Pelodiscus sinensis: one gene and its partners. The protein of the gene in region 3 interacts with the protein of the main gene of each other region in a pairwise test. Links are inferred from orthologs where the notes say so. Each region holds a gene or a part of one and is shown on either strand. Other genes may lie near its edges.

The links.
Region 1: the proteins of RAP1GDS1 (region 3) and NRAS interact in binary tests that used the Homo sapiens proteins (3 or more experiments, as listed by UniProt). The link is inferred for Pelodiscus sinensis from reciprocal best matches to the Homo sapiens genes RAP1GDS1 and NRAS.
Region 2: the proteins of RAP1GDS1 (region 3) and PLEKHB1 interact in binary tests that used the Homo sapiens proteins (3 or more experiments, as listed by UniProt). The two-hybrid records come from large-scale screens. The link is inferred for Pelodiscus sinensis from reciprocal best matches to the Homo sapiens genes RAP1GDS1 and PLEKHB1.

Annotation. Positions count from the first base shown.
Region 1 is NC_134737.1:648,883-656,658, reverse strand, and holds the start of NRAS (GTPase NRas), read right to left. Parts: upstream 3,011-7,776; 5' UTR 2,961-3,010; coding exon 2,850-2,960; intron 1,662-2,849; coding exon 1,483-1,661; intron 1-1,482. Other genes in the region: CSDE1 (cold shock domain-containing protein E1), read right to left, coding at 4,307-4,354. UniProt on the Homo sapiens protein: Ras proteins bind GDP/GTP and possess intrinsic GTPase activity.
Region 2 is NC_134711.1:321,731,454-321,738,393, reverse strand, and holds the start of PLEKHB1 (pleckstrin homology domain-containing family B member 1), read right to left. Parts: upstream 3,011-6,940; 5' UTR 2,996-3,010; coding exon 2,938-2,995; intron 2,860-2,937; exon of another isoform or gene 2,775-2,859; intron 1,609-2,774; coding exon 1,549-1,608; intron 1-1,548.
Region 3 is NC_134715.1:22,177,838-22,185,720, reverse strand, and holds the start of RAP1GDS1 (rap1 GTPase-GDP dissociation stimulator 1), read right to left. Parts: upstream 3,005-7,883; 5' UTR 2,592-3,004; coding exon 2,588-2,591; intron 1-2,587. UniProt on the Homo sapiens protein: Acts as a GEF (guanine nucleotide exchange factor) for the Rho family of small GTP-binding proteins (G proteins) that stimulates the dissociation of GDP to enable subsequent binding of GTP.

The DNA.
Region 1 (7,776 bases), on a different chromosome or scaffold from region 3:
ACTTTATTACAAAGTAGACATTAGGGCTGGAAAGGCCCTCACAGAGCTTAGTCCCTAATCCACTCTCCTTACCCCACCAGCAGTGTTTCCTCTCAGATTTCCAACCGTGAGCGGAGAGTTGTGGCTTGTGCGCCAATACTGAGGTTGCGTGTGCTGGCTTGGATGTGTGCCACCGTGGCACCCAATTTATTAATACACATGTTCCCAGTTGCTGGAGCAGACCCCACCTGGCCCTGCAGCATGTCCCATTCCCGGCTGCTGGAGCAGACACCGAGCCCGCCATGCGGCATGTCCCGTTCCCAGCCCAGCCACCAGAACAGGCCCTGGTACCCCCTGCCACATGGCAGCCCTGGCCACTGGAGCAGGCCAACCCCCGCCACAGCAGGTCCTGGTCCCCTACCCCAGCGGCACTCTCACCACATCATCTTAGCCAGCCCCTCCGGCTGCGTGGCTCTCCTGAGGCGGTGGGCAGAGAAGAATTTTGTTGTGCATGGTTGTGCAGGCGTGCATCTTAGCAGAAACGTGGCCCATCTGTGGATTCACCCTGATGTGCACCCCCTTCGCTACTATGCGAGGTGTATCCTGTATTCCATGCCACTGAACCATTACTGCATCTTCAACAATATCTTGGTGGCTATTCCAGTCTCCACTTGCTGACTATTTATGAAGCACTCAAATTCCCTCTAAGCTGTGCAGCTGCTTGTTAAGCCCTGTGCAGGGGCTCAGGGCTATAGTGGGGAGAGGCACCTCTCCCCGCTGACTCCAGCACGGACCTACCCTGAACTTGCTGTAGCTGGGGGAGCCCCAGCCCCACGCCAGCCTTGCCAGAGGAGGCTGTGAAGGCTAGGACTATAACAGAGTTTACAGAGAAGCTAGATAATTTCATGGAGGTTAGGTCCACAAAAGGCTATTAGCCAGGGGATAAAATGGTGTCCCTGGCGTCTGTCTGTCAGAGGCTGGAGAGGGATGGCAGGAGACAAATCGCTTGATCATTGACTTCGGTCCATCCGGTGCTGGCCACTGTCGGCAGACAGGCTACTGGGCTAGATGGATCTTTGGGCTGGGGGTAGCCCTCTTTCCCAAGGGCAGCTGGCCCCACAAACCCAAAGCCAGCATCCCCAGCTCCACCCCAGAGCCTGCACTCCCAGTCAGAGCTCTCACCCCCGCTGTCCCACCCTGAGCCCTCTCCTGTTCTCCAATCTCCTTGATCTCCATATTGGTGCACACAAGCGATTTGTTCTGCACAAGGACCACTGTGCGCCACTCATACTCTGAGTGGGACTTCACAAGATATTCTGAAGCTCAGTGTGCTGGATGGCATTTCTGCAGCACTTATGTGAAGATGACTGATTGTCTTGCTTGTTTGGTCTCCACTAACTGCGTGGGTGAATATGCTCAATGCCAGTTGAAGATTGCACCCTTCCAGCCTTCTCTCTCCAAAATAAACCTAAGAAAGGCTTTCTCCCAAAGTGCAAAACGTACCTGTAGAGATTGATATCGGCAAATGATTTGCTGTTATTAATGGCAAAGACACAGAGGAAGCCTTCGCCAGTTCTCATGTACTGGTCCCGCATAGCGCTGTACTCCTCCTGCCCTGCAGTATCCAGAATGTCTAGCAAGCAGGTCTCACCATCAATAACTACCTGCTTCCGGTAGGAATCCTGAGGGAGATACAAACACAACTTCGAAAACTAAGACAAGACTTGGTGCTACGGCTGCTGCTGCACCTTACCTCTGCCTCTATTCAGGAGGCATTTCCTAGTGCACAGCGTAAAGCTGGCCGCAGTTCCACAGCTTGCTCTGCTCCCTCAAACGTTGTAAGTAAACATTTGGAGTGCAGGGCATATTGCTAGAGACCTTAATGGACATGTGAGAAAGGCCATTCACCTCTGGAAAAGCAAAATGCTGCCTCCTACCCCACTGCTGCTGTAGGGCAGGGGTGGGCAATACTTTTTGATGGGGGTACTAGGCCAAGATTTTGGAAAGTGATCAAGGGGCTGCACTTTTCTATGGAGGGGCTGTGGGGTTTGGAATGGAGGTTGGGTGCAGAAGGGAGCTGGGGACAGGGGATTGGGGTGCAGGATCTGGGAGGGAATTGTGACCTGGGGCAGGATGTGTGTGCAGAGGATTTGGGTGATGACCTGGGGAATGGAGTTAGCAAGTGGGAGGGGCTGAGGCACAGGAAGCAGGCTCTGGCCAGAAGTCAACTTTACCTTAGGTCAGGGCTACTCAACTTTGGAGCCCCGGGGGCCACAGTGACACTCACAGCACATGCTGGGAGCCACAACTTAAGTGTGGTTGCATGTACATGCAAATATATATGCAAATAGCTTCTTTCACACTGACGGGCACGAGTGCAAAGATTAAGCCTTACGTGCAAGCGCTGGACCCAACCGTGGCCAGTGCGAGCCAGTCGGCATCTCTCAGGCTCTGCCCACAAGGCTAAGCAGCCAGCACGTCCCACAAAGTCCTGGCGCTCCTGGCACCTTCTGCCCAGGGACTAGAAACGCGACACCCTGTGCCCTCTGCCAGTGCTCACCCCGCTGGGAGGGGCCTCGCGGGCCCGGATTGAGCCCCCCGGGGCCACGTGCCGAGTAGCTGTGCCCTAGGCCGGTCCCAGCCCGCAGCCCGGCAGGATCCGCGAGGCGGCGCCCTCCTGCAGCAGCCCAGCCACTCGGGTCCGCTGCTCAGAGCCCCACGTCAATCGCTGCGGGGGCCTAGGGGAGCAGCCAGGCGGTGCCGGCGGGGGGCTCCGTGCAGCGCGGACCGTCCCTGCAGGGGCGAGCCGGGCCCGTCGGCAGAGGGAGGCCCCGCGGGCCGGGGGGGCGCAGTTCAGGGCCGCCCCTCACCTCGATGGTGGGGTCGTACTCGTCCACGAAGTGGTTCTGGATGAGCTGGATGGTCAGCGCGCTCTTGCCCACGCCCCCGGCCCCCACCACCACCAGCTTGTACTCGGTCATGGCCCCGGCCCGGCCCGGGACCGGCCTTCCGCCTTCCGCCCCCCCCCCCCATCCCCCCCGCCGGAAGGAGCCGGGCCCGGCCCCCGTCTGAGCTTGCGCTGCGCGCGGGGGGAGGCACCAAGCGGGAGGCGTTTTTCAAAATCAGTAAAACTTTATTCTATTTCCATTCTTTGCCATTAACAGAAATCGGAGAAAGCAAATGTTTGTTTCACAAAGATAATGCATCTCCCAGAGAAGAAAAACCCTAAACTGAGAATAGAGGTCATATGAAAAAACCGAAAAACAAACCACAGGACTGCCCTCTATTCCAAGAAAATAACTCCTGATCTTTTTGGTTAAAGTAATACTTAGACCAATCATTCAGTTTTCTTGCTTGATAAAGTGTGACTGGGGAAGAATGGGGGGGAGGGGGGGAGAAAAAGAGCACACAGACATCAACTATTTCACCTTGATGAAAGTCTCAATACAGCTATGGAAAGCCTAAGTATTTATTCTTTTACAGTACACTGGGTGCTGGCTGCAAAAAGAAAAATGTATTCACTTCAGGCACAATTTTTAAATTTAAATCAGTAAAAGAAACTGGGTTTAGAAGCTGCAGAGTTCTAAGCAGCAGCAAAATCTGTGCATTGTTTTATATATTTAAGTTACCACACAGATGGCACACCTCATCCTTCTGAAATTCTGCACTGTGCCTACTAATTGCAGAGTTACAAAACAGATCTACTACTCTGGAAGGTACTTTCACTGAGCTTTAACAGAACTTTGCTACATGGACTCAAGTTTAAATGAGATATGAAAACATATGTAACATTTGGCCGTCAACTTAAAAAGTTATCTGAATGCTCATACAGATTTATATAAAAAAGTTTATCTAGTCCACCCTCATATGGTCCTTCAAATTCAAGCTGAACTTGAAGTGAGCCTCCCACATGGAGGGGAAGATAATGCAACTGAGAGCTAAGGCATAGTAACACCTTGGCAGAAATAATGAGGATAGAGTATACATCCTTTTAGTGCAGAATTTCATAAGGTCTACCGCAGTAGAACTGTCTATAATGTTCACTTACATAGGCAATGTAGATTTGCAGTTACCAGTTGCGTTAAATGCACCATTCAAAAAGCGTCTAACAAGTGATACTATAAGGCGCCACCTTAAGTCTCCAGGATGCAACTGTGCATAATTTTAAAATGGTTTCATAAATTTATTTTTTAAACATAACATGAGGAAGGTGTTAAACTGGTATAATAGCTTCTTAGAATTTGGAAGGGATGAATAGGGAGATATTCAGTACCCTTCACCAGCTCCCATCGCATCATCCTACTTAGTTATGTGCTTTATGGTTCTGCTAGTCAATAACACCAGCTTGACGAATCTTTCTCTCTGCAACAAATCCCTGTAATGACATAAAACAGCATTAGGCAACTGCAATGTGAAGTAATGGGTATGGTTAACAGATGGATATATACCATTCTCTCAATTTCTCCATGTGTAGGCCACTCTTCATGTTGTTTCTAACAGGATACCCTGTTGGTATTGGGGGGCTAAACTGGCTCTTCAGAAATCCTAAGAAGCAGCACCAAGCTCCCATGGTTCCCTATGCACACACACTCTGTTTTACCTAGCCACTATATTCTATACCATTGCCTTGAACTTTGAAGAATCCACTCTAAAGACCTCCCAGGGTGAGAATTGAGCATACTGGGCTCCCCTACATGTCTCCCTGCTAACAAAAGTTCTAAGGAAATGTAGTGAGCTGAGGCTCCAGCTCTTTCCCCTTTCTCCTAGGTGTATTATTGAGAATAAATTCTCATTAGAACACAATTTCTCTAGAGGAATTTTAAATGTTGCAGGAAAGTACATTTTTCTGCCTCGCAATCTGTGTGTCACTCTTAGGCTCCATGTACACTGTGGGTGTTCTGCAGAAGAAATGCAAATGGAGCACTCATTTGCACACTCATGCTCTCATTTGCATATCTTCAAATCCTTTTTGCAGAAGTTATTGCAATTAAAAAGCCCTGTGTAGATGGGGCCATTTGTCAGAAAAAAACCCTTTTGCGCAAGAGCCTTTTTTTGAAGAATAAAGGCTCTTGCGCAAAAGGGTTTTTTCCCCTGACAAATGGCCCCATCCACACAGGGATTTTTACTCGCAAAAACCTCTTCTGCAAAAAGGATCGAAATATATGCAAATGAGCACTCCATTTGCATTTCCTCCTCCACAAAACACCCGCAGTGTAGACAGCCTTAGAGACAGCATCACCTGCCAGCTGAGGTAGTAGCTACCTATCCACTTCCAAATTTGGATTAATTCTACGTTAGACCAAAGTGGGCACTCGGTGAAGTTCTTCCTGGATCAGCAGCTTGAGTGGCTTGTGGCAAACACAGCAAGACTCAAAGTCTTGATTTTACATTTAAATGAACAAGTTACAAACAATTTTGCCTTAATCAGCATTTAGCAATATACAGTAATGCAACCTGGGATTGGTTGACCACACCCATTCCGCTCTTGGTGCATATGTGGCCAATGCAAACAGGATCAGATTCTTTTAGCCAGCAGTCTACTGAGGCCACTACTGCACCCTAATGTTCTCACATCCCCATGTCAAATACAGAGCCAAGCAGGCACAAGCATCCCCAATTCCTTCAACACTACAGAATCCCAGAGGAATCGGACTCCACAATAGCGGAGCAGGACAATGTGTTGGGAACCCACGTGGACAAGACATAAGAGCCAGTTACAGCACAGTAAGAAACACTTCTCAGAGACTGAGTCACCAAAAGTGGCATTCAGGCAGACAAACCAAAAATTGTGTTTCCTTAGCAGTGAGCAGTCGGACTCCTGCTTAGCAAAGAGCTGTAGGACAGCCCTGTCAAAGCACCCATCCCATTTGGAGGCCTGTCCTAAGGAACAGCATATTGTAAGTGAGTGGACCGAGCTCCATGTACTTATTCTACAGATTTTAGAAATAGGGGCAGTCCTCAAGGGAGAGACCATGGGGGACAGAAAGATGCAAGTTTAAAATAAACTAGGCTTTGCAGGTTGGCAAAGCACAGGGTGTCCCCAGATAGGAGGACGACGTGCAGATACGGCTGCAAGATGGAACCAGAAATACTTTGCAATATCAGGGCTAGCTAGCAGTCCACCCACTTGTGCTGAAATGAACAGTCAAGGGCAACAGGAGGCGGTGGGCTGGGAAGCCCCAATTGTGAAGTTATTTTACAAGCCAGTCTAGTTAAGGCTTTCCTGTTCGGAAGCAGAATATTCTCAACTTCAGAGATCTGACCACTGTTTCCCAAGACTGTTGGCAAGGCCAGCGAGGTGATGGGGCTATGGTAAAAAGCTGACTAGGGTCTTAATGCCAGAACTGCCCAACTAAAGCCTGGGCTAACATGATCAATCATGTATCTTGCCTCATCTCTCAATACCAGTGGAGATGGCCTGCTCCTTCTTGTCATAATGCACAACTGCCATGCTGTCTGTCAGCATCTGGCTCACGGATCCCTGGACTAATGGCAAAAGTGGCAGGCAGATGGCTCTGGGTCAATCTCTGAGGGTGCCACAGCCCTGGTGTTTGAAGGTGATCTAGATATGCTCCCTCCACCCCGAAGAGAGTTTACCAGTTTGAGGACTTCTCTTCATGTCTATGCAGTGCTTACTTGATTTTCAGCCCTCTCCTGCAGGGAATAGCAGTTAAGGTCTGGCAAGCTGCATCCCAGCCTCCTTTTGGATTTTAGTAAGCCATTTGACACTGCTGCACGATATTAGCATAAACAAAATTAGGAAAATATGATCTAGATCAAATTACTAGAAGGCAGATGTACAACTGGTTGAAAGATTATGCTCAGGAGTAGTTAATGAGTCACTGTTCCACTAAACTGAGCCCTGCAGAAGTCAGTCCTCCATCTGCTTTCATTTAGTATTTTCACTGAGGACTTGGAGACTGGAGTGGACAGTATGTTTATAACATTTGCAGGTGACACCAAGCTAGGAGGGGTATTCCAAACCTTGACAAATGAGAGGTTCTGAACTTAAAGAGATCCAATTACATCATTACATTCAAAAGATCCAAGTACAAAGTATTTTCTGAACAAACCCTGGGAGCCCAGGGGAGGAGAAAGGCTTGGAATGCTGCTCCTGCCCCCACATAACCTTATAGCTCTTATTGGCCGAAACCATCCAGTGGGAGCTGCCTATTTGCTAGACCAAAGGCTTGTGACATACCCCCGCTCCCTCCCCCTGGGCTCACAGCATTCAGAGCAGCACATCTGGCCCCCAGCTGGCTGATGAACCTTCTGGGCAGGGCTGCTGGCCAGGAGCCACACAGGTAAGTGCCTCCTGGCCAGAGCCTGCTTCTTACATCCCAGCCCCTCCCTCCACCACCTCTCTGAACTCATACTAAATGTAGCCCACCCCCTCTGTACTCTTGTGCCTTTACCCATATTCTTGCACCCCCTTACACGCCTCATCCAGGTCAAAATCTTCTCCTGCAGCCATACCCGTCTTCTGACCTAGGTCACAACCTCCTCCTCCTCCCAAACTCCCCCCTGCATCCCAATCCCTTAACCCTAAGCTCTCTTCTGCACCCAACCTCCATCCCAAATCCTGTACATCCTCCATTAATACAATGGAAAAGTGCAGCCTTTGACCACTTACCAAATTCTTGGAGAGGCCCCCATCAAAAGTTATTGCCCACCCCTGGGCTAAGTGGTAGCAATGCTGAAAAGGATCAAGGGATTGCTGTTGCCTCATGCAATGTGTGATCCGGAATAGGATACAGTTGTGAAAACGGTAATACACCAGGCAACATTAATGGAAGA
Region 2 (6,940 bases), on a different chromosome or scaffold from region 3:
CTTCCTCATGTCTGCTTTTACTGTAAGCTCTTTGGGGCACAGTCCTGTTCATCTTTGCTTCTGTATTTAAAGACCCCAGGGCACTTGGGGGCACTCAGAGTCTGATTCTCCACTGCTTTTCCCCTTTACAGCTGGGAAAAAATGAATGGAAGGTGCTGCCAGATCAGAAAGGCTGTTTCACACCTAGTGGTATGTGATTGCACAAAGCACAGCAGAGGTGAATCCGGCACAATATAGTTCAAATAGGGAAAGCCAAAAAGTTTTAATCTGGGCCCCTAGTGGGAGCTTTAAAAATAAAACCTGCCCCAAATCAGCAATCACAGCAAATTTGTCACATACTCAGCTATCACAGAGCAGGCTGCTAGGAGGGACAGCAAAACCTACTCTGAGGCCTGCCTGTTAACCCTTGATTCACCTGAAATGATGAATTACTTGCCCAAGGAGTCTCATTGACTAGGGTGAAGAATTCAATCACCAAATGCAAATAAGGGGACAAAATCGAGCCCAGAGATTCTTACCATGAAGTAATGTCAACAAAGCCATTAATTAGCTTGTGCTTGTGGCAGCCTTGTGCTGTTGCAGTAATTTCCAGGCCCAGAGCAATCAGAATTCGTGTGACAGGTGCAGAAGGGCACCCCAGGCATAGCCTTCATGTCACTGCTGTTCAGGAAGCATAATGCAGTCTGGGAAGTCACATGTCCAAACAGAAAGACGAGCCCAGATTTGTAAGGCCAGATGGGGCCATCTAGCTTGACTCTTGCATAACACAGACCAATTACTCTCAATAATTCATACACTGAGCCCAGTAACTTGTGATTGGACTAGAACATATATTTTAGGAGATCTCTATCAACAGAGACAGGATTGTCTGCTATCAGGTTCTTATGTACTTAGGGAAACGCTAAGATCCCAGTCCTGCACTATCCTGTGGCCAGAGAGTTACCTGGCAATGTTTAAGCGCTCAGGATCCAGGCTGTGCACATGATAAGCATATCAACCAGCAGGGCCAGCCTTAGGGCTGGGCAAACTGAGCCCATACCCAGGGCACCATAGCCAGAGGGTGAGGGACAACTGGGCATGTGTGTTGCTAGGTAAAAGGGGTTGAGGGTACTAGACAGGAAGACAGTGTGACGAGGCATGCTGGAAGTGCAGGGCCTGGGTTAAGGGTATGGGTGGGAGACAAGTGCAGGGGTTGGGATGAAGGAGGTACTGTGGAGGTTAGGGGGTAATGGAGGCACAATGAAGTTAGTAATTAAGAGAGCATGGGAGGGAGGCGCCATGTTGGGGAGCCACTGGGTGCCAGGGGAACTGGGTGGTGCTATGTCCACAGGGGTTAGGAGCATCAAAACACCAGTTCACGTAGGGCACCATCTTCCCTAAGGCTGGCCCTGTCAGCCTGCGACCCAAAGTGTGTGAAGAAAAAAGCTGTCCCCAAATCCCTCCAACAAAGAGAACACAGCCAGGAAAAGCCAGTCCAATGCAACCCTCCCCACTTGTAGAGAGACCTTTTTTTTGGCATGACATTACTAAATTACATTCTGAACTTACTTTGTCTCCAAAGCCAGCCGCTCTTCATCAGCGCCATTATTTTAAAACGCCTTACCAAACCTATCAAGGCAAGGACATCAAAAGCAGGGAGTCAAAATTAACAACCACATCAGATTCTTGTCATCCCCATTCCAATAAGCATTTTTCCCCGAAGCTGCTCATTTTAATTACGGCGTTTCCCACACACGGGTTTCTCCTATCAACTTTATTTTCAAAGTCTTTTTGGTCTTTTTAAGAGCTAATCTGGATCAGAGAGCGGCAGTATTTAATTATCTGTGTCATACGAATTGAGGAGGGGAAAAATTTCAGCTACCTTTTTTTGCACCATTAATTGTATTGGGATTTAGGGATTAGCAGCTCTCCTGTGTATGTAAATGGAGAAATCCAGAACATACCTGCAAACACAGGCAATAACTCCCAAAGGCATTGGTTATTTTCCATAGTGATTGGAGACAAGCAAACAACTGATGCAGAACAGTGAAAATTAGTTTTGACTAGAGCTTAATAAGGCATTAATGCATAAAACCCATAGAATCATAGAAGTGTAGCATTGGAAAGGACCTGGAGAGGTAATCTAATCCAGTCCCTTGCACTCATGGCAGGACTATGTAATAACTAGAGCATTCCTGACAAGTGTTTGTGTAACCTGTTCTTATAAACCTCCAGTGACAGATTCCATAACCTCTGTTGGCAGTTTGTTCTGGAGCTTAACCACCCTGCTGGCTGCAACAGGCAAACAGTGGGGGTAACAGATAGGAATATACCCGCTTCTTTGAAGCACACCACATTTTCAGTCCTTTTGGAGGGGTAAATAAGAGATTTTACTAACCACCAGTTTTCTCCACTCAAGCACATCTGAAGAAGTGGGTTTTGCCCATGAAAGCACACGATATATACGAAGAGAATATGTTATAGGTTAGTCTTTAAGGTGCCAAAGGACTATTTGTTTTTAAAAGTTGCAGACTCACACGGCTACCCCTCTGAGACTTTTTTCCATCAGTATGTAGGTATGAACATTCTCTACAGTCTGGGAGCCAAAGGAACACCCCAAGTAGTGTCACATATTTCAGTGTTTATGTACAAATACACACAGTTCATAAATCCCCCACCACAGCTATACATGCTTCCTCGTACAGCCTTACAAAACAGCCACACGCATCTCTAAATCATACCCCGCCCTGGCCAGCGCTTGGGGTTGCCTGCCTCCCTCCCTCGAGACACATCACCTGTTGACTGTCCTGGGGTGGAAACATCCCTCTGATGTGCAAATTTCACTGGACACACGTGCTGACGCCGGGCACGGGAAACTCCTGTGCACAACCCACCTGCTAACCCTCCGCCCCCACCTGCTGGTGCCAAACAAATCCCATGCCATCCGGGCACACTTACAGCCAGCATAGCAGTATGGTGCGCGCACCCTACCCCCACAGCACCCAGCTCGGCGCATCCTTTACCTGGAGATAAGCAGGACCCTGTCGCGCGCCGCCGCTAGAACCCCTGCCTCTGTGACGCGGGGGCCAGCCGGGTGACCCCCCCGAGACAGGAACGCGCACCCCGCCCCCCTCCCGGCTGGAGCTCGGCTCGCACAGCACGCTGGGAGTTGTAGTTTGCAGCCGGCGGGCTGCCTAGGCAGGGTAATCCACGCCGGAACTACAGCCCCCAGGATGCAAAGGAGGGGCAGCTCTGGTTCATTCCGACAGGCTGGTTGTTTTGCAGGCGCCGGGAGCGGGTCAGGCTGGTAGCCCTGTTCCCACAGCGGGGCTTGCTTCCCTGGCCCCCCCTCTGCGAGCGCTGCATGGGGGGCTTGCAGCGGGACAGGCCCGGGCAGGGCTGTCTAGGAGCCGTGGGGGGCATGGCCCGCAGAAGCAGCTGGAACCAGGCTCCGCCGGGACCTTCCCAGGCAGCCTGGTCTATTTTTAGTGGCGCTTCAGCTCATTAGCAGAGGCTGCGCTGGTGGCCTCGTGCGGCTCGGGAAAGACACGCGCTTGCACGCCCGCCTGCCCAGGGCTTTGGGGAGGGGAGAGCAGCCCTCAGCCCAGGGGGGGCGCTGAGCAGACAGGCGCTGCCCCAGGCAGCAGCCCATCGGGGAGAGAGCTCAGTGTGTGGGGATAATAGAATAGTGATAGAAATGTAGCCCTGTTAGTCTGGTGCAGCTGAAACAAAAAACAGGACAATGTAGCACTTTAAAGACTAACAAGATGGTTTATTAGGTGATGAGCTTTCGTGGGCCAGACCCACTTCCTCAGATCAAATAGTGGAAGAAAATTGTCACAACCATATATACCAAAGGGTACAATTAACAAAAATGAACACATATGAAAAGGACAAATCAAATTTCAGAACAGAAGGGGGATGGGGGGGAAGAGGGGGAGGTAAATGTCTGTGAGCTAATGATATTAGAGGTGATAATTGGGGAAGCTATCTTTGTAATGGGTAAGATAATTAGCGTCTTTATTCAAATTTGCATGTAAAGTGTCGAATTTAAGCATGAATGACAGTTCAGAGGATTCTCTTTGAAGTGGGGATAATAGGTCAGTGACAGCCACTAGCGGCCAGGCCCCCATGCCACTAGGATGGACAGGAGACAGACAGGCACAGCATGCTCAGGCCTGGGCAGGCTTGTTTCCCACAATACTGTATATCTCCTGGTGCTTTGTCCAATTTGGCTTTGAAAGTCCTGAGATATGGGGTGTCCACCGCTTCCCTGAGACGATATCATGCCGCCAAGTAGAATTGTAAAAAAACAAACAAACAAAAATTAAAACAGTAAGGCTGTGTGTACACTGCAGGCTTTTTGTGTTCTTGCGTCAAAACTGGCAGAGCGTCTACACTGCACACACATTCTTGTGCAAGTAAATTTACAGTACAGCATCGGAACAGAGGGCTTCTTGCACCAGAGTTATTCCTTACCCCACGAGGAATAAGCCCTCTTGCGCAAGAAGGCAGTGTGGACGGGCAGCAGGGCTTTCTTGCACAAGAAACCCCTGTGGCTAAAACGGCCAACAGAGCTTTCTTGCACAAGAGAGCATCCACACTGCCATGGACGCTCTTGTGCAAAAGCACATCTCTTGCGCAAAAGCACATGGCAGTGTGGACGTGCTCTTGTTCAAGACCTTTTGCACAAGTGCTCTTGTGCAAGACCTTTTGCACAAGAACTCTTGTGCAAAACCGTTCTTGCGCAAAAAGCGTGCAGTGTAGATGTAGCCTTACCATGTAATCGACTGAAATTCAATCAGTTACATGGTTAAACGCTTCTGTGAGCTTAACCCTCTGGGCTCCCAGAGGCCGCTGGCACTGCTGGCCCTGCATGTGGTGCCTCTAGACCCGCAGGCTCCCCAGGGTGGCCAGGAGTTTAACTAGTGGCTCATTGGTTAACCAGTTAAACTCTTATCATCAAGCAGAACAGGTTGAGGGAACTTGGGAGGAAATCCCTAGCTGGCAGTGGTGATGTGGGGCAGGCTTAAGGATAAGAACTGTCATGTGGGATCAGGCCAGTCCACACTGGGTCCATCTAGCCTAGTAGTTTTGACTTTTGACAATGGCCAATGCCAGGTGTCCCAGAGGGAATGAACAGAAAAGGGAATCATCAAGTGATTCATCCACTGTCACCTGTTCCCAGCTTCAGGCAGACAGAGGCTAATAGACTGACCTCCCCTCCATGAATTTATCTAGATCTTTTTTAAACCATGTTGTGCTCTTGGCCATCACAACACTGTTCTCAGCATGCACTGTGCTGAGTTATGGCCGCCTACTGAGTCTGTATGGTATGTGCACTGTGTGCACATATTGCATCCTGTGACTGGGGGGCTTAGAAAGAGCCTGTCCTTCAGGTTAAGAAGCAACCTGTCTGCTAATAAAGGCTGAGCCCTACCCTAGGATCTCAAGTTACTGCTCTCTCCGATAGCTTTGAGCTCTAAAGTGCAAATACAATATCTAGCAACCAAGTGCAGCGCTGCAATGAGCATTTCTGTAGCCCCTCCCATGAACATCACAGACTTTGACTTCTTCAGCCTCATCATATCCCTACCGGATCAGGGAAGTGTGAGTGACATGCCCCATCCTATGCAAGAAGTCAGTGTCAGAGCTGGGAACAGAACTTAGGTCTTCTGATGCCTAGTTTTCTGGTCTGCAACATCCCATTTCCTTCCATTAAGCAGCCTTCTGAACGGATGCTGTTTTATTTACTCTGCCTTTGGGCTGTGTTGCTAAGAAGAAGGAACTGTCCTTCTGTTTGGGAGAAACCTGGGGAAAGCCTCTTCGTAATGTTGAGCCAACAGCTCATGATGCGGGCACCCTTGTGGATCCCACGAAGAAGCATACAGTGTTGCCAGACTCCTGTGGTCAGGAACAGCTGCTGGGATTGCTGAGTCACGGCAGCCAGACTGAAGAAAGACCAGGAAAACAAAGATATGCAAGCACTGGAGCTAAAAGGAAAATACAGGTTGAACCTCTGTGGTCCAGGACTCTCTGGTCTCCTGAAGGACCATGGATGTTGCAGGACTAGAGAGCCCCAGCAGCAGAGGTTGCTGGTGGCTAAGAGCAGAGCCTGCGTCAGCAGATCCCCTGGGACACCAGAGCTTGCAGCTGGCGGGGCAGGGAAGCGGGGAGGGACGGAAGGGAGTGGGAGGAACTCAAGGAGCAGTATATGTAAACAAGCTCTGGCGGGGTCACTGCGGCCTCCAGCGGGGAGTTGGGGGCCCCCATGAGTTCTAGCAGGGCTGCCGCGAGCTCCAGCAGGGCGGTGGGGCTGCTGCGAGTTCTGGTGGGTTGGCAGGGCTGCTGCAGTTCACGGGACAGGGAGGTAGGGGAGAGGAGCCCAGCAGGGAGGCTAGCACCCTCCTCTCCCAGACCTCCCTTGGCCCGGCAAACTCCCTTGTCCGGGACTGGTCAGGTCCCAAGGATGCTGGACCAGAGAGGTCCAACTTGTACTGCATTATTACAAAGAGGGGCCTGTTTTGAAGCTACCTACCAGGCATGACCCCTTGCCCAACTAAGTGCGGAGGGCACCCCTTTGAGGGACAAGAGTATGGGGAAAGAGTTGGGGAGCCAGTGAAAGGCCATTCCAGGCAGCAGGAGCAACTGAGGGAGGAAATGCACAAAGCAAGTCTAGATCAGGTGAAGGGATCAGTGGAGAGGCCAGCTGTAGGCAAATAGAGAGCAAGAAGGTGGTTTAAAAACTACATAAGGTATTAATAACAAGGAGAGTAGACCATAAGCTCTTTGGAGCAGGGACACTCTCATATATTCATAAGGTTCCTAGGACAATGGGCCCCTACTTGGAACCTCTAACCTGCTGTACTATTAATAATAAAAAAAATTCGGCTACGTCTACACTGCAGGCTTTTTGCGCAAGAACACGTGTTCTTGCGCAAAAACTTGCAGAGCATCTATA
Region 3 (7,883 bases):
AAGTGTAGAATATTCAGTATGTTAAATCATGAAACACTCTGAGTTCTCTTTGCCGCAAATACTTGATTTTTAAGTATGATTTACCAAGTTAATAGCAGCTTGAAGAAGATATTTTTAGTGTTGCAAAAATTCATCCTCAATACTTACTTTCTGAGGCTTTCCAATAGTTATGCATTGCACAAATAAAAGTAGGAGAGCATGCTGGAGCTGAGCAGGGACAGCAACTACAATGATTAAGCTCACAAAATCAAGAGACTCTAAACATTCAAAGTTGTCATGTTTGCTATTAAAAAAAATTAACAGAAAACCTCTAGCTGGCTGTGGGAAGATTCTGTTTGTGGTCACTGGCTCTTCAGAACAACAAGAGCTGCTACAGAGGAGGTTATAAGTTGGCCACTGGCCTAAATGGCAGAAGAATACGGTCCAGATGCGTGCAGGGATGGGGAAAAATAAGAGCAGGGCATTTCTTGTATTAGTCAACAGTAATCTCTCTGGACAGGTCAGGTCTACACTAAAGAAAAAAGTTGACCTAAGATACACAACTCCAGCTATATGATAGGGTAGCTGGAGTCGACATACCTTAGGTCCAGTTTCCATGGCATCTCCACTGTGGGAGATTGTCTCTCGTCAACGCCCCTTACTCCTTAAGATTCCGTAGAGTACCAGAGTCGATGGGGGCGCCATCAGTGATTGATTTATGTACTAGAGCCCCTAAATTGAACCCGGGGAGATTGATTTACCGGGAAATCAACACTGCGGAAATACAGACAAGCATTGGACAATTAAGGAGCATCCTTGACAGACACTGAATGGAAACCCTCCTAGTCATCTTATCTCTGCTAATGTAATAATTTTGGCTAGAAAGATTTCATGAGCAATTTACAAACTCACCCACCACTGGAATGGAACCTTTTGTAGAGTACAATGCAGCATTCATTCTGTACTAGCAATTTGATTATGACATTGATCACAAAAGTAGGAATGACCAGTGTCCTTAAATATCTCCTAGTTAGTTGTCAAGGAGTTGTCCTTTCATCTCAACTAAATGGGAGACTTCTAGAACCCTATCACAATGTCCAAGAAAAAGTTCAGTACCTGCTTCTGAGGGTTTCTTCCTCCAAACACTTTATAAAAGTGACAATCTTCACAACTGCCCTGAAAGGCCGGTAAGCAATATCCTTGTTTTACAGACAAGGAAACTAAAATATAGAGTTTGTTACTATCTATGGAAATCTTCATTTACTAAATGGCAAAAAGATGTATATGGGCTCAAAAGAAACCAGTTACTCATCTAAGGCAGCAGCAGAAGTAAGTGTCAGATCTAGGATTATGACTTCAGGAATTGCTGACTTCTTAGCCTGCATTTAAACTATTAGAGTGCACTATCATTGCCTCTATGGGAGAGATGCTTTGTCTTTAATTCCTGATGAAACCCAATGAGGTATATTATAGTGTCCTCAGCACTCATACCATTGGGCTATAAGAAAGCACTCCTTTCTAGCTCATTGTGTGTTTGTTTTGGAGGTCTCCATTAGCAAATAAGATTTTGGAATTAACAGCCAGATAACATGACTGCAGTTCTTCACAAGACACGTGGTGATTTAAAAATCATGGGGCAGGGTAAAAATGAAGATCTTTGTGGTTCCATGCAGAGGAACACCAGAGGTAAGACTGGAACATAAGTAGTCTATGTAATGTATTATCCAGCTGTCTAGGACACAAACAGAAGAGGCGAAACTCAGTCTGTTGAATGAACTATTTGACTACTTGCTCCAAATCTCCTTTTGATACTTAGAGAATTTGATTTCCACCTAAGAAATCTGTATCCATAAACTGTAAGGCAACTTATATTTGAGTGCATTGCCTTTATTAAAATTGACATTCAGCCTACCTAAGGCCAGCAGGACGGTTGAACTGGCAGTATCACACGAGCCTGCAGAAACTTTGCACTGTCATTTCAGAACAGAAGGAAACCCGCTGATTTAAGTTCAGAAATAAGGTGCCCTGACTATTTTCAGCTTCCTGCTACCTCACCCCTTTCTCTATCCCTGAAGTGATCAAAAGACGGAGCTCAGCCCAGGAAAAACACACCCTGTAAACCCCCCGCTAGTCCAGCATGGAGCAAGTCGCTGCCTCCTGCAGGGACTGGTGTGTTTTCACTCGCCTGGTTCACCCCCAGGCTGGGTGGAGATGGCTCCCCATCCCAGTCCCCGCATTCCCTGCCGAGCATGCACAGCCCTTGCCAAAGCAAACTGCACCCTGAGCCTCCTCGGCCGCCAGGGGAAACACCAGAGCGGCTGAGGAAGTTGCATGAAGTCGTCTTCCTCCACCTCCTCCTCCTCCCACCGGCCCGCCACAGAGGGAGGGGGAGGAAGGGGCCGGCCTTGGGAGAAACAGGAGCAGTGCGACGGGGGAGAGGATGCAAAACAGGGAGCCGCACGGAAGCCAGGGAGCGGGGAAGGGGGATGGGAAGAGGAGCCGCGGACTTGCTTGGGCATCACGGGGCCCAGGCCCTCCCGCCTCCCGGGTGCTGCAGCACAGGGCGCATAGGGCATAACTTTGGGGGGGCTGAAGGAAGGCGACTTACCCATGCTCCTGCCGGGAGGGGAGCCGCTCTCTGGGTCCTGCTAGGGGCAGCTGCCGCCTGCGCCTCAGTCCAGCGGCCGGGGGGGGACAGGCGGGAGCAGCAGGGTCCTGGGGCGGGGCGGCTGCGGCAGCGAGCCGGCCGGCCGGCGGCAGGAGCAGCCCCTGGGCAGGCGGCGGCAGGGGGAGGGCTGCGCGCGTTCCGGGGCCCGGCCAGCCCTGCCGCTGCTGTCGGGGACGGGAGGCGGAGAGTGAAGCGGGCGCAGCTCAGCGCAGCGAGTGTGTGTGTCTCGCTGCCTGTGTCGATTGGATTATGAGTCAGTGTAGTACATCCGGGCAAGGCCCTCCTCTGGAGACACCCGGCCCAGCGACACCCAGAGCCCCGGGAGGAGGAGCTGCGGAGGCAGCCGCAGAGACGCACAGTAGCAGCGCTAGCGAGGTGGCGGAAAAGTAGCCGCTTGGAGTGAGGTGCCTCCCCTCCGCGCGTGGCCTCTCCCCCGCGGGCTGCCTGCAGGGCGTGCGGAACAGCGGGCCTCTCCGTGCCCTGCCCACCCGCGGGCTGCCCTTGGGGATCCAGACGCCCTGGCTAGAAAGCCATAGGGCGCCGGAGGCTTTGCAGACAAACTCAGCTGTCCAGATCGATACGATGCCAAGGGCTTTACAGCCCGCGCAGCCCAGATCCTGTGCAGCCTTCCTCCCCCCATAGCCTCCCGGAGCAGAATTAGAGCAATTGTCATTTCGTATAAACGAGGGTTCTTCTTTCGTCGTTGTTTTATCATTTGCAGAACATGCTAACAGACATGTTAAGGCAGCCAGAGAAAATGAGGGAAGGAGATTTACATTTTACATTTGGATATGCTATCCTCTGTCATGTTTAGAGCTTGCATTGAAAGAGGTAGCTATGCAGAGACATGCCCATCTAGCCAGGTAATTGCATCTGTTTTGTAAAGACCTATACATTGGATTCATATTCCACCCTTGTAAACAGCGTCTGGTTAAATAATACTCCAGAGTATCATTTAAAAAAAAAAGTTCTCCATCACCCATCTCGACATGAACTAGCACTGGCTAACACAACCTCTTTGTTGGGGTTTTGCAGGATTTTGTGAAACTCTTTTGTAAAAAATGGCTTCAGGATAATGGCTAGTTTTCCACTGAAGACAAGGCCACAGTTGGAAACCAACCTAGTAAATGGACCTAAAGTGATTTTAACATATCTAGGTCTATGCTGGCAAGGAAAAGCATGTTCAACACATGCTGTCTGATCCCATTTTTCATTTTCAAAGTAATGATAGAAGAATAAATTATTTCCTCTTTAAAAATAGACTCTCAGCCACAAGAATGACACTCACAGCACTTCCATCTCTTTGATTCCTAAACATCTGCTAATCAAAACATTCAAAAGAGGAATTTAATTGTTTCTTTAAAAAAATCTAAACAAAAACCATACCCCCAAGCAGATCCCCCAAAAAAGGAGATGACTCAGAGACATCATACATTCTAATCAGGTTTTCAGTATTGCTATTGATTTTAAATGGAAGACATTCACATATTTCAGTGATGGGTAACAGTATAAAACCTTACTAGAAAATGTCCAAGATGTGCATAATACTTCACAGATACAAGATTTTATTAAAGTCTCCACCCACAGAATTTACAATCTTATTTGTACAGATATCACAAAAAAGAAAGCACCTGGTTTTTTTTGTTATTGTTTGTAATATTTAGAATAAATTGACCTTTTCATAGTGGGGTTATGTTTGTTAGTTTTTAATATATATAATAAACTGACCTCTTGATAGTGGGCTTTTATTTGTTTTTGTTTTTAATGTTTATAGTAATTTGAACTCTGTAGTAGCTTCTTTTCTGCTAAAAAACAGCAAAATTTTCTTCTCAATTAAAATGATACAATCCTGATGTCAGTGGGATTCATTGCACCATTGTGATCAAAAGGAAAATTTAAACTACAGTATCATGATGTGACTTACTTATTTTTTAAACTGGAGGACAGAACTGTTTTTTGAGGACTTGGAATCACTGCGTGAAACAGCTCTCTCATTTCCAGCTCTCTCATTTTCCCAGAGTCTTCTAGGAAAAAGATGTAAGGAAGACATGAGTTAAAGAAACAAAAAAGCCAACTTCTGCCTCCCAAAAGTACTTATTCGGCTATCATACCTCATAAAGGAGAACAAACAGTAAATTATTTTGTGTTTTGTTTTTTGACTTTAAAATGTCAGACTCAACAAAAAGCTATTGGAAAATTAAGAATGTTCACTGTTGCACAGCAGTCCTAAATCTTGCACAAATGTGAACTTGTTTTGCTATGGCTGAGGTTTTCTGATGTGATTTTTTGTCATAAAGAAGAAGTAAACACTAAAAATACTTGTATCCAGAATGTGATCAGTAGATGGAACGATTTAAAGTAATCTTTAAATACTTTTACTTTTGCCTGTTAGCTGTGAGAGCAGAAAGCAGTGGTAAAGGTGTATCCCAAAAGCCATACTGTGTGTCATATTGGATTTGAACAAAATGTCACACTTATGAAAAGGTAGATGGAGTGATTTTGAACAGTAAGCAACAACTTGATTTTCTCTCATTTTCTTTAATAGAAACAATTTACAAATAAAGATGCCCTTTACAAAAAGAGAAATGGAGGGAGGGGAATAAAGTATCAGATCAGATTTTAAGGTGAACTTTGTGGTCAAAAGAATCAATGTCCCTTTCTAAAATGGAAGAAAGGCAAAATATATGACAAATTTTCCTCAAATAGATAAAACCAAATGCTTTGTGTAGTCTAAACCATAAATATTAAAACTGAAATGTAAATTTTTCTAAACAAAAAGATATGTATGAAACATAGCATTTTCTCATGAAATACTCGAAGCATGAAGTATTATTGAATTGGTGGTGGTGTTTTCCCCAGAATATTTGGTCTCTGTAAAACTGGATATGGAATGACAGGAAAATATTTACTCATAAGGACTTAATACTATGTCTGCAACTTTTCTTCTGGAACCATTATTTTTGTAGGTGAGCTTCACTGAGTACTTTATTTTTTCCAGTCTTCCACATTAACAGGCACCTTGCCAGAATAACTACCTAAGAATAGTAACACAGAATATGAATAATAGGTGCTTTGCAGGGCCAGTTCTACTTGTCTTAGTTGTATGTGTAGTTTAATTGGAAGCAATGGGACAACTCATATGAATAAGTCAAGAAAAAAATAGGACCAGCAGTAACCTCACATTACAGCAACTGCAAATTACCCCTGCACAATACCAGTAGTGCTTCTATCTAGCATCTGTTCCACCCTCCTGTTTGTTCCTTTTTATTAACAAATTACTTTATTGGTTACAGAGGATTGTGGGATACAGACCAATACAGTTTGTTGATTTAAATCATTGTAACCTTATGATACTTTAGCAAAGCTTTTGATACGGTCTCCCACAATATTCTTGCCAGCAAGTTAAGGCAGTATGGATTGGATAAACAGATAGTAAGATGGATAAAAAGTTGGATAGACTGTCGGGCCCAATGGGTAGTGATCAACGGCTCAATGTCAGGGTGGCAGTCGGTTTCTAGCGGAGTGCCTCAACGATCGGTTCTAGGAATTGTTTTATTCAACATCTTTATTAGTGACCTGGATGAGGTGGTTGAATCTCCATCCTAGTGGTTTTTAAGTCCCAGCTTGACGAAGTCCTGGCTGGGATAATTTAGTTGGAATTGGTTCTGCTTTGGGCAGGGAACTGGACTCAATGACCTCCTGAGGTTTCTTCCAGCCCTGGGATTCTATGATTCACTAGAACCTGCTTCCATTGAAGTAAATGCACTTTTGCTATTGACTTTACTGGGAATAGATACAGGTCTATGTGTACATCCAATTATGTTGATGTTGTGTATTTATACATGACCAGGGGATAAGGAGAATCTATACCATCATCTTTTTAGTAAAATGTAGGAAAAAATCATTTAAAAAATTGCACATGCAATTCATGGGTTTTGTAATTTTTTTTCCTAGGGCTTTGAATCTGCACATTATTTAAATAGCAACTTGATATTTGTTTATCTGCAATTTGCATAATTTGACAGCTGATATAACACAGATATTCATAAATTATCCTAGAAGCAAAAGGTTTCTGTATTCTTCTGCTCCATCAATCTTCTCCAATTTTCAGATTTCTTCTAGAATATATCTTTCCTTCCTTGTCTTTGATTATTCATTTCCGTATCTTTCAGTAATATTTTTTTACTTGGACTTTGTAACTATATCCTAACTTTAGGGAGCCTCTGGCTCTCGTTATTTAAGAAGCTTTGTGGGATGCAGTTTGTATGAAAGACAATTGTGCATTGTATCCTATAACAGGTTAGCACTATGAAATATGATGTATTAAGATGACTGGGAAAGCCTGTGTGAATTTCATTAAAATTAATGAAATGGTCATGTCATTAAAGATAATTAAAAACAAGTACAGTATTTGGGAGAACTGGGAAAGAGAAGCAATGTATTATGTTTTTATTGGGGCTAATGATAGATATTAGTGTAACCCTTTTGCCAGGCCGAATTAATAGCAGCGAGGGCTGGGTTCAGTATCTAGGGGTCTCATCCCAACAAGGTAATACAACACCAGCTCAAGTCCCCACCTAGTGACCTGGGAAATCTTACATACATCTCTGGGCGCCTCAAAGAGGCAGTTCTTCCCCTCTCGCAAGCACAGAGCCTCAGTATAGCAGCAAACCTTTAATAACATGAGGTAACCAACATCAGCATTAACTTGGGAAAACACCACAACTCAGATTCATAGACCAAACATGAGCAGAGACCCTTCTCCCAGCCCCAAATCACCCAAAGTCCCAAAAGTCCAACACCCAAAGAGTCTCTTAAGTCCAGCAACCCAAAAAAATCACCCAAAGTCCAACACCCCAAAAGTCTCTGCCCCGGGTCAGTGCTGCCCCAGGGTTCAAAAGTTCACCTGGCTGAGTTTTACCATCCCAACCTGGAGGGGTGGGGATTGACACACCTTACGTGGTCCGCCGATGGCTCTGCCTCTCCGTAAGGTTCTGCCGCCACCATCAACGCGAGTCACTCCACCACACTCCACCTGTCGTCCAGTGAGCCGCCTCAGCTGTCCCACGAACTGTCTGGCTCTGCCAGCCGTCTCGGTCCACGCCCCTGGCCGCCAGCTGGTTGCTCTTGCAGCTGCTCCACTGGCTGGCTGCTGCCGCTCCTACCGGCCACAGGTCGTCCCCACCAGCTGCTCTGCTGTCCGCCTGCACCTGCTGGTCGTGCCCGCAAACCGCTC